2 linked regions of the Xenopus tropicalis genome follow. The protein of the gene in region 1 interacts with the protein of each later gene in a pairwise test. Links are inferred from orthologs where the notes say so. Each region holds a gene or a part of one and is shown in the gene's direction. Other genes may lie near its edges. The genes, in order: ift20 and nup54.

Evidence for each region.
Region 2: the proteins of ift20 (region 1) and nup54 interact in binary tests that used the Homo sapiens proteins (3 or more experiments, as listed by UniProt). The two-hybrid records come from large-scale screens. The link is inferred for Xenopus tropicalis from reciprocal best matches to the Homo sapiens genes IFT20 and NUP54.

Annotation. Positions count from the first base shown.
Region 1 is NC_030678.2:47,405,309-47,411,620, reverse strand, and holds the end of ift20 (intraflagellar transport protein 20 homolog), read left to right. Parts: intron 1-1,184; coding exon 1,185-1,270; intron 1,271-2,017; coding exon 2,018-2,121; intron 2,122-2,789; coding exon 2,790-2,871; 3' UTR 2,872-3,682; exon of another isoform or gene 3,683-3,716; 3' UTR 3,717-4,098; downstream 4,099-6,312. UniProt on the Homo sapiens protein: Part of intraflagellar transport (IFT) particles involved in ciliary process assembly. May play a role in the trafficking of ciliary membrane proteins from the Golgi complex to the cilium.
Region 2 is NC_030677.2:81,672,569-81,680,203, reverse strand, and holds the start of nup54 (nucleoporin p54), read left to right. Parts: upstream 1-2,960; 5' UTR 2,961-3,126; coding exon 3,127-3,172; intron 3,173-4,546; coding exon 4,547-4,645; intron 4,646-7,635. UniProt on the Homo sapiens protein: Component of the nuclear pore complex, a complex required for the trafficking across the nuclear membrane.

The DNA of each region.
Region 1 (6,312 bases):
ATGTGATGGGATTTATTTACCCTTACATGCCAGTATGTAGGCTTCCCATACTGTGTCTAGAAGTAAAGTTCAGCTTTGTCCCCATAGGCTACTATCACACGGGGCTGATTCTCAGCCTGAGGATATGCTGAAATGTATACTCATATGTTTTGGTGCACCTAGGCCAATGCAGTGACTGATGCTAGTGCAGCAGTCGCCTTATTTTCTTTCATATGTAGAGTTGCTAGTACAGGTATGGGATCCGTTATCCGCAAGCCTATTATCCATAAAGTTCCGAATTACAGAAAGGCCATCTCCAGTAGACTCTATTATAAGCAAATAATTCTAATTATTGAAAATGATTTCATTTTTATCTGTAATAATAAAACTGCACCTTGTACTTTATCCCAACGAAGATATAATCGATCCTCATTGGAGGCAGAACAAACTATTGGGATTATTTAATGTTTAAATGATTTTTAGCAGACTTAAGGTATGGCGATTCATATTATGGAAATATCCCTTATCCAGAAAAACCCAGGTCCCCGAGCATTATGGATAACAGGTTCCATACTTTGTGAGGCTACAGAAGCCACGTGTATATAGCTTTAACTTTCCAGCTGCTGCATAATTATTGCATGGGCACCAAAAGCTGCTATTTTAAGTACAAATGGAGATGCTGCTCATCCTGGCGTTCCAGATATAAATTAGTCTAGGGCAGTGATTCCCGATCACCCTCTTTGATATTGCTCCCAGTGGCCTCAAAGTAGGCGCCCATTTTTACATTTCTGGCTTGGAGGCAAGTTTTGGAAACACAAAGACACAGGTTTACTTCAAGTAGAGCTATCTGGAGGCAAGGAGTTCACATGGGGCTACCACTTAGCCAATCACAGCTCTTATTTGGCATTCCTAAAGAATTTTTTGTTCATACTTGTGTGGCTCCCCAACACTTGTAAAATTGAGTGTGGCTCACGAGTAGTGTAAAAAAAAAAAAAAAAGTTGGGGATCCCAGGTCTAGAGAATATTTTTACAGCCCTCCAGCTGTTGTCACATGCCTTTTATAGCAAGTCGCTGCTGGAAGCCTGCATATCTGTGATTCATATATAAGTATGAGAGAATTGCAGTGTCAGATCCCAATGTTAATCACTTATATCAATATGTGTTTCTTACTAACAAATGGCGCCTTTTTTTTTTTTTTTCTTTAGAAATAGGCCATTTTCAGAAAGTAGTGGGTGGACTAATTGAACTTGTTGATGAGCTAGCAAAAGAAACCGAAAACGAAAAAATGAAGGTGAGGATATAAATTCTTAATTAATTTAAATGAAGACTATTCACCCTTTGTCTGAAATACCCCCAAGGGTTGGTTAGAGTGATTGATGGACATGCCAACACCACTGTTTTCTATTTTTCCGACTAAAGCAGATATTAATAAGCATGTTTATTGGCATGGTTGTCCTCTGCCTACTGGATGTAACCTCACCAGACACAGAAATAAACATGTAAGAAGCAGAAAGAATCCCATGCAATATTAAAAGCACTCTCTTGCAAACTGTGCCAAACACGTACAGTATTGTCACAGAAAAACCGTAGGCAGGCCGCTATACACTGGTGTTTTCTAGATATTGATGCATGGTTATTCAATCGCTGCTAAACACATCAGCTCATTAATTCCATTATATTCTGTCTGTTTGTACTTATGTGGTCAGAATTTATTTTTAATTGCAGTCGTGTTTTCTTTTCTGCATTGGGGCATTTTTTGCACTTGACACTTGATAATACAATAGAGAGTTTTGTGGTAAACAAAAGCAAGCTTAGTTTTAGTAGCACAATATATGCGTTACGATGCATTCTTAGATGCAATGCTATGCAGCTTTTCATTTGATTTAACTGCTAGTAATACACTTTGGTCACAGAGCACAGCAATCAATCTGCTGTAGAAATACTTTGTCTTGAATAGTGCTTGGTAGTCCCACAGCACAATGATCAGCTGAGTGTATGGCCAAACATTTAAATAATAATGTATTTATTTCATTAATAGGCAATAGGTGCCCGGAACTTATTAAAATCTATAGCAAAGCAAAGAGAAGCCCAGCAGCAGCAACTGTATGCCTTAATAGCAGAGAAGAAAATGCAACTAGAAAGGTATGTATTTACCAATGGGCAAATCCTGTGCCTGTATGTATTCAGTTTAGTCATAAGTTGCATTTATTTGCTTATTTGTGCATAAGGTGGGTGGTGCAGCCTGAGGAACAGTTTGTGCAAATATTAACTCTACCAACTTTGTTATTTGCTCCACCAATTGTCATCAGCAGCAAGACTTCTCTGGATTAGCCTTTTAATTGAAGAAGGATGATGGCGGTGGTCTGTCAGTATATATAAAGCTGGAGGAAGATATTTTCTCCATGAATAATTTATAGACAAACGTTTAGCTTGAATGGAACATAATGAATACAAGGCACAGCCTGGGATAGGTTGAGGATAACTGCAATGTGTCATGTTTTGGAGTAGAGAAAGGGGCACCCTATAAGATATAAAATGCCCCCACAACAAAGGGTGCTTCGGTTACACATTCTTTATATTAGCAGGGTTAAAACTGCTAACATGAAATTAAAAAAAAAAAAAAAAAACGCACATATAATATACACACACACACACACACATATGGTAACTGCAAATGTGCCTATAAGAGCAATATTAAATGAAGTTATATGGGTGTGCAGATGTCCCCTATAAGTAGGACATAATGGGAAATGGCTCTTCTATATCTGGGAGCTTCCTGGATAATGATTTCTATTGTTCCTTTCTTTCAGGTACCGAATAGAATACGAGGCACTGTGTAAAGTGGAAGCTGAACAAAATGAATTTATTGATCAATTTAACCTCCAGAAATAGCACCACTTGCAGGCTGTGATTGCTCTGGCTGACTGCGCGGGTCGCTTTATTTTCCCAGCAAGAATTTCTTCTCAGTACACACATTTCATTGCAATTCCAGTTGGACATTGCAGCACTGTTCAATAAAACATTCCTCAATACTACTTGCTCCTTTTGTCTAAAGCATTCTCGGACACCTGACCAAGCTCTGCTGTTTCAGACATTTCATCGTAAAAGAACAAAACCAGCATTTCTCTCCAGCAAGTAACCGGTCAAGAAGCTTTAAGAGATACAAGCCTATTTTTAAATCATTGTTAAACATTAAAATGTATTATTATACTTTCTATCTGCCCAAGTGCTTTTTAAACCATAGTTTAAGTACAGTTATTAGATGCTGGACACAATGTATTTAATGCAACACATCAGCACATTTAAGAATGTGTATTTCCTGCAATGAACAGTCATGCATCAGTAATAGCCGCTTAGCAGGGATTATGCTGGCATATTTTGGCTCAGCTTACCCCACCTAAGGTTATCTAAACCCTGTTTTCACCGATATCTCACCCACTTGAATCATCACTGTGAAGTTATAGGCAGGGCTTTGCATGTCTGTAAAGATTACGGTTATATATATTTTTGACATTGCCTTTGCAGAAAACGCTGTAAGAAGAGCAACTTTGCTCCATGTATGCTTATGTGCATATGGGGACAACTCACATCTTAAAAATAGCCTCACAGTTTGAGAGAAACAGATTTAAACGCTTTGCAGAGATGGGCGGTTATTATAATTGGAAATGTGAAGAGAATGACAGCAAAATTTGCCTATATATATATATATATATATATATATATATATACACACACACACACACACACACACACACACGTACATCATTGGTACTTTAGCAACAACATTTCTATAGTGTGTTCTTGTTCATCAGGGGAAAATACCCCACAGTTCATCTTAAATCAGAAGTATTGAAAAAGCCGAGCAACGGCGACGGGTAACGTTTTTATTGGTACGTTTCTACATACATGTTGGTCGTGACTGAAACTGGAGTTGGATTTGTTTAGTTTTTAATGTATCTCATTTTATATCATTTATTTGCACATGTTAAATTGCTTGGAGTGCTGTTGATCAGTGGATGGATAAGTATTGTGCTCTCAGTGCATAGAAACAAATGTTTTATATGGATGCTTTTTTGTGTACATTTAATTTGCCTCGATTTATAAAAAAAGAAAAATGTATCACAATGCTTCAACTGTGCTTCTGTTCTTTAGGCAATTGTTAATGCCAGTGTACAAGTGAGCAGAAGGGACAGGGTGCAGATAGCAGCAACAGCAAAAGGTGCCTCACAGCTTGTTACACAATTCCAATATTGGAAACTAGTTACCTTTTGATGCTCGGCTTATGTACTTATTGACAGTAGACATCTTTGGTGAGACCACATTCAACATAAAATGTATCTACTCCCTGCCACTGTTTCTCCATAGCCGCTTAGATTTGGAGAGAACTTTAGGGAATCTGATATAGTTCTTTTTCTCTAAATTATAGTTTGTTCACTCTAATTTTCTGCAAAATTGTGCTGTTAGCAAAAAATAAAAAAAAGCTCCCCCCTCATGGGGCAAGTACTAAAGCACAACTACATTGGTTTGATCTCTGGGTGCTTAGGAATACAGAGTAAACATGTATAAATCAAATACAATAATTCAGTTACCCGGAGAGCACAATGAGCCTTATAGCTTCATCACAGCGACTTTATTGTGGAGACCTCATGCATTTCAAGCACCTGAAGAAGGCTGTTGAGGTAAAACATGTAGTGCATGAAGTCTCCACAATAAAGTCACAAGTCACTGTAATGAAGCTATAAGGCTTATTGTGCTCTCCGGGTAAATTAATTATCATATTTGTAACTATATGCAGCCACCACGGGAGTCTGCAACCTGTTGAGCGGCACTAACTAAGAACAGATACTGCTAAGGACAACTAATTATTTGCGAATGTATAGATCAACCCACATCCCTTCCCCAATGATTATATTTGCCCCAACAAAAAAATGTTTCCCTAAAGATTGTCCCTGCTCATTGTCTTGTCTTGTCTTGTCTTCTCCACAGGGAAACATTCAGAGAGTATCTGCATGTTTCCTCTAACTCCCAAAAGCCCAAGCACCAAGCCCAACTTCAACTTCAAGAAATACATGTGTAAATCAATTTCTTTTTTTGCCTTTGGTTCTCATCATGTATGAACACCATTCAGGTTCCTTTAAGATCACTGTGTGTTCAGCACTTTTATGCAAAATATAATGTGTGCATTGCCCACGCCATGAATCTGCAGAGACATTACCCCTAGCTTCACTGCAGAGATGTCTCGCAAGACAAGGCTGCCAGAGAGGCACTGTACAGTCCATTCTATGGGTGTATCTGTATTAGAGAAGCAGCCTGAGATACAAGGACATTTTTCACCAGATCTCCTCCTTTTCTCGTGCTACTCTCACCACGAACTCAGCTCTTGGAATGTGTTATTACAAGACTCCATTTAAAAGCCCAACAAAACTGCTTGATATTTAAGCACTTACCTGGAATAGGAATTACCAGTTAGTAATTTGTAAATCACAAAACCAAAAATGTAACCTTACTAAAAGCAACTGAGGAACAAGGAGTTCTCTGAACAGTGCAGTCTCAAGCAGTTGCTGAATGACTGAGTAATCTCTGAGGTCCATACCTGGTACCTATGGGAACCCAAACCTTGGCACTAAGTAATTTCAATAAATGGGGTAAGGCCCCTTGCATTTACAACTGTGTGTGGCTTTATTTGATTAGTGCAACTGGTGTAGAATCCCTGGCTAGTGAGAGAGGTGCAGCAACTAAGTGGCAAGTGTTGAGGATACAGGTGGCAAGGATAAAGTAGGACTGATAAATGTCCCAGTCAGCAAAATTTGTCACCTGGGCCCATAAGCCTCGTCTTATGCTCTGATATTTATCTAAAATCACGTAGTTACAGGCATAAATATCTGTGAGTTGCTCATATCTAAATTAAAGGCATAAGAAAGCAAGGCTTAACCCAGCTCTCTCTTCGGAGATGCAAATGGCTAATTACATAGTAAGCTAGGTTGAAAAAAGACACATGTCCAAGTTCAACCTTTTATGCCTATATAAAACCTGCCTAACTGCTAGCTGATCCAGAGGAAGGCAAAAAAAAACCCTTCTGAAACCTCTTGAATTTGCCTCCAAGATGGCAATCGGACCAGTTCCTGGATCAACTTGTACTAAGGGCTATTGTCCATAACCCTATATTCCCTCACTTTCTAAAAAGCCATCATATATAATGTATCTGCCAGTGCAACTGATTTCATCTGGCCAAACACAGCTCTCACTGGAAAAAACCCTTTCCGAATATTTAGACAAAACTTCCTTTATTCTAATCAGAATGGATACTCTTGTATCTGCTAAAAGGACCTACTG
Region 2 (7,635 bases), on another chromosome or scaffold:
TCAAGGGCTAGCACGCCCCCTCTGTGTGCCGGTTTTTAAATCGGATATTTAGCCATACTAAGAGAAAAACAAATTTCACACAGTGGCCACAAGGGGGCGAAATTTTACAAGCAATATTTACAATAGAAATGTATATAAGAAAATTCATCTGTGATTAATCAATTGTGATCCTATTACCATTGTACATGAGGTTATAATATTAATTCCTTGCTGCTTTCTATATATGTAAATACTTCATTTGCACGTTATCTGGAGACATTTCTCCCCCTCTATCTTGTTTATACATTAGTGTTAACATTTGGTGGAGCTTAACTTAATTGTGGAAGGTGCAGCTATTTCTTTTCTGTTCTGTGCATGGACATGGGTATCAGGCCACCCATATTGGTACAAAAAAGATTTTGGCAGGATGCAAAGCTTGCCTTAAAGGAGACATATTGTATAAATGGAAAATTTTGAAGGCAATTATGAATAATATATGGTGCTGGTTTCACTTTGGGCTAAAAATGAATCCTGTCTGTAAAGATGGCCCCTTTATTGGAGCTCCCTATAGATCCTATCAGTTCTCTGTTTCAAATGAAGGGTGGGCGTGCCCTAACAGAAACACCGCAGGAGGGGGATAGCCAATCACTGCCTCGCACTCACACAAGCAAAGACAGCCTTCAATTCCCTAACAGATCAGCCTAGCTGCTGATTGGTTCCTATCCTACAGTGCCTTGTACTGACAGCTGCCGGCTCCAGTGAATTCAGCAAGCAGGAAGTGGAACAGATGGGCGGGACTAGTGTGGTTTTGGTGGAATTTCTCAATAAATCTGTCTAAAACACAACTTTTTTTAAGCACAATCCTTCTATATTTAGAGGAGTATAATTCACTGGTACATTCTGTATTTTTATACGATATGTCTCCTTTAATAACAGCACAAAATGGCACCTGCCAGGAATACAAGAAATATAAAAAATAAAGATGAATTGAAAATGTGCTAAAATCCATACTATAAAATACTAAAAGTTAACTTTGAACTAACTATGAAGACCAACCCCTTTAAAAACTGCTTCAAGTGCATTGCCCCATGGCAACTGCAATGAAGCTTAAATTCCAGTGTCACGATTACGCCACTTCAGACGCACATGACTTTAGGCGTGGCTGTCTAGAGGGTCCCTTGCTCAGTCTCACACACCTGACACCCAGGTCAGACTAGCATCACAGCACCCCAAAGACCAACCAACGCTCACAAACTCATACACAACTTGCTGCCACCACTCTCATACTTCTTACACTATAATATTATAAAAAGTATAACAGTGCAAGTTTAAAACAAGATGTTACAAAAAAGGACATACGATAAAACAAGTACAAACAGTTTTAAAATAAAAGGGAAAAATATAGAAGTCCTATACTATACCAAGCAAAGTCCTTCTAGCCCTGGAGGCAAGGGGAAACCACAGGATAAACTTCTAATAGAAATTGGTCCTCCACAGAATATCCGAGTATAGTCAGAAGAGCTGACTATTTATCCCAGTTTGCAGGGGATCAGGTAACTGGACACTCCCCCCTCCCTCAGGAATGCAAGGGGAGTCACCATTAGCAGGACACAGTGTGAGTTTTATGGCCTCCTGTGTATGGACTGGTCCAATGATACCAATGTCCATAACTCCTTGTGGGAACATAATAGAAAGATGAAATTAGGTTCATCAATTCTAAATGATCCCACCGGTCCCATACAGACTAAACATCACTACTGTGTGACCTGCCCCTGCCCAGATACTCCTATCTGACAAACCGAGAACCCAAATCCAGCGATGTTTGGACCCGTAAGAAAGGCCATCTTAAATGAAACATATACTCAGGTTTTGGTACCTCTAGTATAAATAGTATGGGTTCTGGGACAATAAATGTTTGTGAGTTTGGGTTATGGTGTGATCTCCACCTCACCTATGATGGGTCCCAATGTGAACTCTAAGTCACCCCCACGTGGGTTTCACTCCCTCACATGGCATGGCTCTTATCAGCCAGAGATTAGAGTTGGGCGTTCCAGGATGTGAGGCCTTTACACATGGCTGGTTCCAGACCCTAGTGACCAGAGGCCTGTTATATATCTCTTTCTGGCACATTTCTGGAAGATTTTGGGATACCTTGGCCTGCTTAATTAACTCTTACAGGCCTATATCATGACATCCAGGAAAAATGCTGTATTGTGGAGAAAAATATGCTAACTGAACCTTGCATTTTTCTTGTTGCACTCTCTCATACGTACATGTGACCTCAGGGGGAATTACCACAAGGACTTTTTTTTCCAAAAAGAACTCCTATCCTGTAATGGTAGTTTAGGCAGCATGTCAGCACTAAAGGATTAACCTGTGTACTATAGAACAAACTTGTTACTAAATAAATCTTGGCCTGCCAGCTTCCCGTTCTACAAAAGAAAGTAAGGGTCTCTCTGCACCACCCACTATAGAAATCAGAAGCATATGTTACAAGCAGCGGTCGGGAAGTGGTTCATATGTAGCAAGGATAAATCAATTTCCTTTAATCCGTGGAATAAGGTATGTCCGTGTAAATAAAAATATGTTCACAATTTACAGTGTTCATGCACTAGAATAAGCTAATATTAAAGCATAAAAATGGGGGTATATAGTTTACCCTATTAACAAACGCGTGTTTGCATTCTATTTTTTAACCTAATAGGGAGCATTGCCACTAGGAATACAAAGCCCGTTACAATGACAGCAACTAGCAACAAGTGAGCAGCATGTTTCCTATACTTCAGATAAACAGATCCGCTAAATTTATAGAAATTGGAGCCAACCAGAAATATCCCAACCCATATGCAACGCAAACTCTTCTCCAGTACGCATAGGCGAATCCGTCTACTGTAGAGTGACTGTCTCTCCAGAAACCTGCATCTCTATGATCTCGACGTATACGTAATTCCTTACGCAAGGCGGCGTGTTCTCCGGCTTCTGAGCTGGGCCTATCTGACAAGCGCTTTCGTAAGCGCGGGAGTTAATCAGGATTTAGCAGGTCTGCTACTATTTGTTGCTACCTCCTGGTGTGTCTAACTCTGAAGCCGGTCGTGGGAGGTGGGTTGAATTGCTGCAAAGAACCTCGGTGCATCGGTGAGCAGGGGCATGGCGTTCAACTTTGGAGCCAGCACTGGGACGCCGGCCAACCAAGGTGAGCGAGCAAAATTTTCCGGAATGGGAAAATGTATTGGCCGGCAGGCGAGAAGAACCACACGTGACATTGACCTATCACTGGGTTTGCTCGTACATAATTATGTTATAGTCGTGCCAGAGCTGTAAACCACCCCACATGTAGATCCTAAGAGAAAAAATGTAGTAATGAATGAAAAATGAGTGTGATTTTTATGCAGCACACCTTGTTTACACATTTCTGTACGTTATAATGACATTATTGAATGGTAAACAATATAATAACATATAAATAGAAAAAAAATGCATTTGAAATTAACTATTGAGGCTTAGAAGACTATGAGAGGGAGCTCCCTCCACATAAAGCTTGCAATCTTGGGGTTGAGTGCCTAGGCACTGTTTAGTGAAAATTACAGTGACTACATAAGTGTTGATATGTTTGCAAAAACACTCCGATATCAGACTAAGGAGCCAGAATGTTCTTGGCAACCATGTCATCACCAAGCATTTATTTTCGTTGCAAAAAATCTCAATTTACTTGCATTTAAAACCTTTCTTGAGCAACTTAACCCTGGGAAATTGGGAGGCAGATATTAAATGGAAGGTTTTATAAAAGGCCTGTGAGCTGCTCCACAAAGAACCTATGATCATTTTTGATGCAGATATCTAAAAAAAACATTGCTAAATAACTGAAACATAATGAGCGTCATATTGGCCCACTGGAATAAAATAAAAACTAGTGGGCCCAGGTGTCAGTGGGCCCTCTATTTCTGTATGGTAACATGGAATCTGTATAGATGGAAGAATAGTATAGCACATAAAGAGGACTAATAAGGGACTGAGTGAGAACAGGAGGAAAAATTGTCTAGAGGGTGGGCCCATAATCTTAGATTTTTCTGGAGGGACCCTGCCACTATAGTCCAACACTGCCCATAATAAACTTTCTTTGCTGTAAGCAGAGACTGTCAAATCCACTCGACTGAATTTCAGTTATTATGGCACTAACATAAACTATTCAGGCAACAAAGCACTTTGGAATGGAGTGAACTGGTAGGACCTTTCTTTCTAGTTGTCAGTACAGCTATAAAATGGCTCAGGGAGAAAGGGATTGGTATATCACAGGAGGAGCCACCTATATAGTCATTTAGCACTTGGGCTGCCCTCAAATCAGCTAAGTATTGTTTCCTAGATGTGCATCCCATTAAACTTCTAATATGATTTAAAACCTTACGAAGTTAAACCTGCTCAAGTGCTCTCGGAGCAGTTCTAATGTAGTCTTCTTTTGATGATAAAGCCACAAAATGTAAAAGGGTCTTTCATTTTATTGCTGAATTTTTGTTTTGCTTCCTATATTTAATATGTTCTAATTATTTTTTTCCCATATCTACTTTTCTAGGTACAACTGGATTTTCACTTGGCACTTTTACGCCTAAGACTACTACATCAGGGTTTGGTTTCGGTACAACTACCACAACTGCATCAACAGGCTTTGGAGGTAAGAATAAACTTGCTTATTTGTTAAATCATGGTTAAATCAGATGCAGTGCTGCTCCCATTTCTTGAGTGAACTTTTAGAATAATCTTTTATTCTTCATGTGGGTAAAAACATTTAATTTTCACATCTTGTAAATGCATCTGCATTTTTCCTGAGATACTTCCATATTATTTTACCAAGACTTTTGGGAAGACCTCTCTAGATTTAAGTTGACTTATTCTGTTTTGTCTTTTTTTGAAACTCAAACAATGTTATTGATTTGTCAAAAAGTTGCAAGGGGCCATTTGCTGCTACCCCTGCCACAAGCACCCCAGCTCACCCCTCATGAATACAGTGCTGTATTTGAAGGGCGAAAGCAGGTCTCTGTTTTGGAGTAAAAAAAGAATCAACAAAATGTAAATGACCAAACCAATCCTTGCTGAAGTTTTAGGATTCCACAAAGTGATCCTTCAATAATGAAACCAAACTTCAGCGCCAAAGGGTATAGAATAAACAACAAAAAGACAGTTCTATATTGTGTGGTATTCAAAAACAACTGGTAGATAAATGCTGTCAGCAGATTAACTCCATAAAACGACCCCTCAAATTCACTTGTAGATTGTACTTTTTTTCTAATCACTGAAAGCAGTAAGAGTGCAACATTGTGTAAAAACCTTACTTTAATATATTATAAAACCAAACATTGCACCTACAATGTTTACAGACGATAGCGTGCACACACAAAAGGCCCCATGAGTCCTGGAAACCAGTGCGAAGGGAGAAGTGGCCAGCGTTTGTTCAGTGTTCTGTTTTGGAGTGCACTTTTTCAAGATTACTCAGCTGTCCAGTTTCTTTAGACTACTAAATACTGTATATCATGGTCTGGATGAATGATAACCCTCACAAACATTCTGGAATCAGATGTTTTTAAAGGACATGTAAAGCCTACATTTATCTACAATGTATATCAGTGTGACACATCTCCCCCACCCAAATGGCATCATTTGTACTGCATATATCCCCTCCCCTTGCTATCACCATCGCATTTTCCAAAAGCAAATAGCAACTTTCACTGGGTGGCCATTTTTCCTCCGATACATAATCAGATACATTTAAATCTGCAAACAGCATACACACACACCCTTATTTAGCATACATTTCTTCAAGAATACAGGCTCACACAGGCAGAACTGTATCTGATAAAAGTTCTGCTGTGTTTGAGCTGAGCTCAGGAGACGAGGTTAGGAGAGAAAAATTGAAGCAGACAGCTAGAGCTGAGTTTCTATGGGAACCAGCAATGCCATCTCTTCACTGGCTGCTAGACTGGGAGGGGTGTGTTTAGTAATCTGAGTTTAGAACAACTTAATTACATTTTTGTGTGTGGGGTTTACATGTCCTTTAAAAACACTGTTATAATTGAATAATGCTGTGGGTTACTTCATTTTTACTGTCTCTTTTGCTTCCTTTTCCCCACTTTTGTACACATGACTCTAATTCTTGCTAACTTTTCTTCATGCTTCCTACTCATCAGGATTTGGAGGGCTGGAATCGGTGACCTCCAATGCCAGTGGGTTTAACTTTGGGGGGTTTGGACTAGCTGCTAATCCAGCTTTAAACTTTAACATTGGGAATTTCAGTGTGTCTACTGCTCCAGCAGCACCCTTCAATTTTGGTAACAGCCTGGCAAGTGCAGGTAGAGAAATATGAATGTATGTGTATGTCTTAAAATGCAGTGCATTGGTCCAAGAATAGGTGACAGTAGTGCAACAAAGGCATTGATCAGTGCAGCAGGGTAATACTATTGCAGCTACAAACCATATTTTGGTTATTTTGCTAGTTTTCCAAGTTAGTATGCAATACTAACACACTTAATATAAGTGCTTTTAAGGTTTACCCATTGCTTAGTATTACATAATTCTCTGAGAATGCACTCTTTTAATTTCTGATTTTAAAGAAGAACAACCCCTACCTACTGAATCACATAACTGAATCCCTAAAAATTATTTCTGTACCCCATTTCAGCCAAAAAAGGCATTCCAAATCTGCTGCCAGCAGAGTTAAATGGTGCATATTCCCAGTGCACCTTGAAGTTTATCTAATCAAAGTGTGGATTATGTTGGGCTGGACTAAGTGATTTTAACTTTTTTATGCTGCAAGGAGTTTAGCAGATGTTCTATGCTGTTAAATTTGACTCCATGGGACACCTACTATGACAATGCACAATTTAATTTTATAAAATATTAATATTTGAAAGTTAGGACTGAGGTTAAGAACATACAAAAAGTAAAGGTAGCCATGGATGGCCTAACATTACCTACAAATTTGGCCTTTTTAGACCAAGTTGGTGTCATATTTGTCTGCCTATTGCCAAAGTGATGGCTTGTATAACGGATAACTGGATAGCGATCAGACAGATATCTGTTGGGCAGGTCTCAAAATTATGGTGGGCAGGGACTGTTAATGCAGCATTTCCCCAATGAGTCAAAGGTCTTAGGGATGACTAGTCATTGATCCAGAGGCCACACTATTAGGTCAAACCTTGGTTGGCTAATCCAAATACATTTTTGGTGACCTTGAGAGGGTCTCTCAGTCTATCGCAAATTTAAAGGTGAAGGAAAGGCATTTTATTGCCAGTAGATTAGTCACGATAGTGCAAGCTAGAGCACTATATTCATTCTGCACAATGCTTTCCCATACCTGGCTAAACAGCCGTAGAACCTCCCTTTGTTTGTTAAAGATAGTTTGTGCCATTTAAGGTTAATGTCCCAAGAAGCAATTAAGTCCCCCGCCATAGAGCGCTGCTACCAAAGGTGACTAATCGCTCCGCAATGCCTTTCCAGCTGCAAAAAAGGCAGTCGCTGGTGGAAAGACTTGCGCATTGATTTGGTTTTCTGAAGTTGTGTGAAGTTTCCTCCTGCAGGCAAGTTTGCACAACTTCGGAAAACCAGAGCAATGCGTAGGCCTTTCCACTGGCAATTGCATTTGTCTGTTGAAAGCCATTTTAAAGTGAA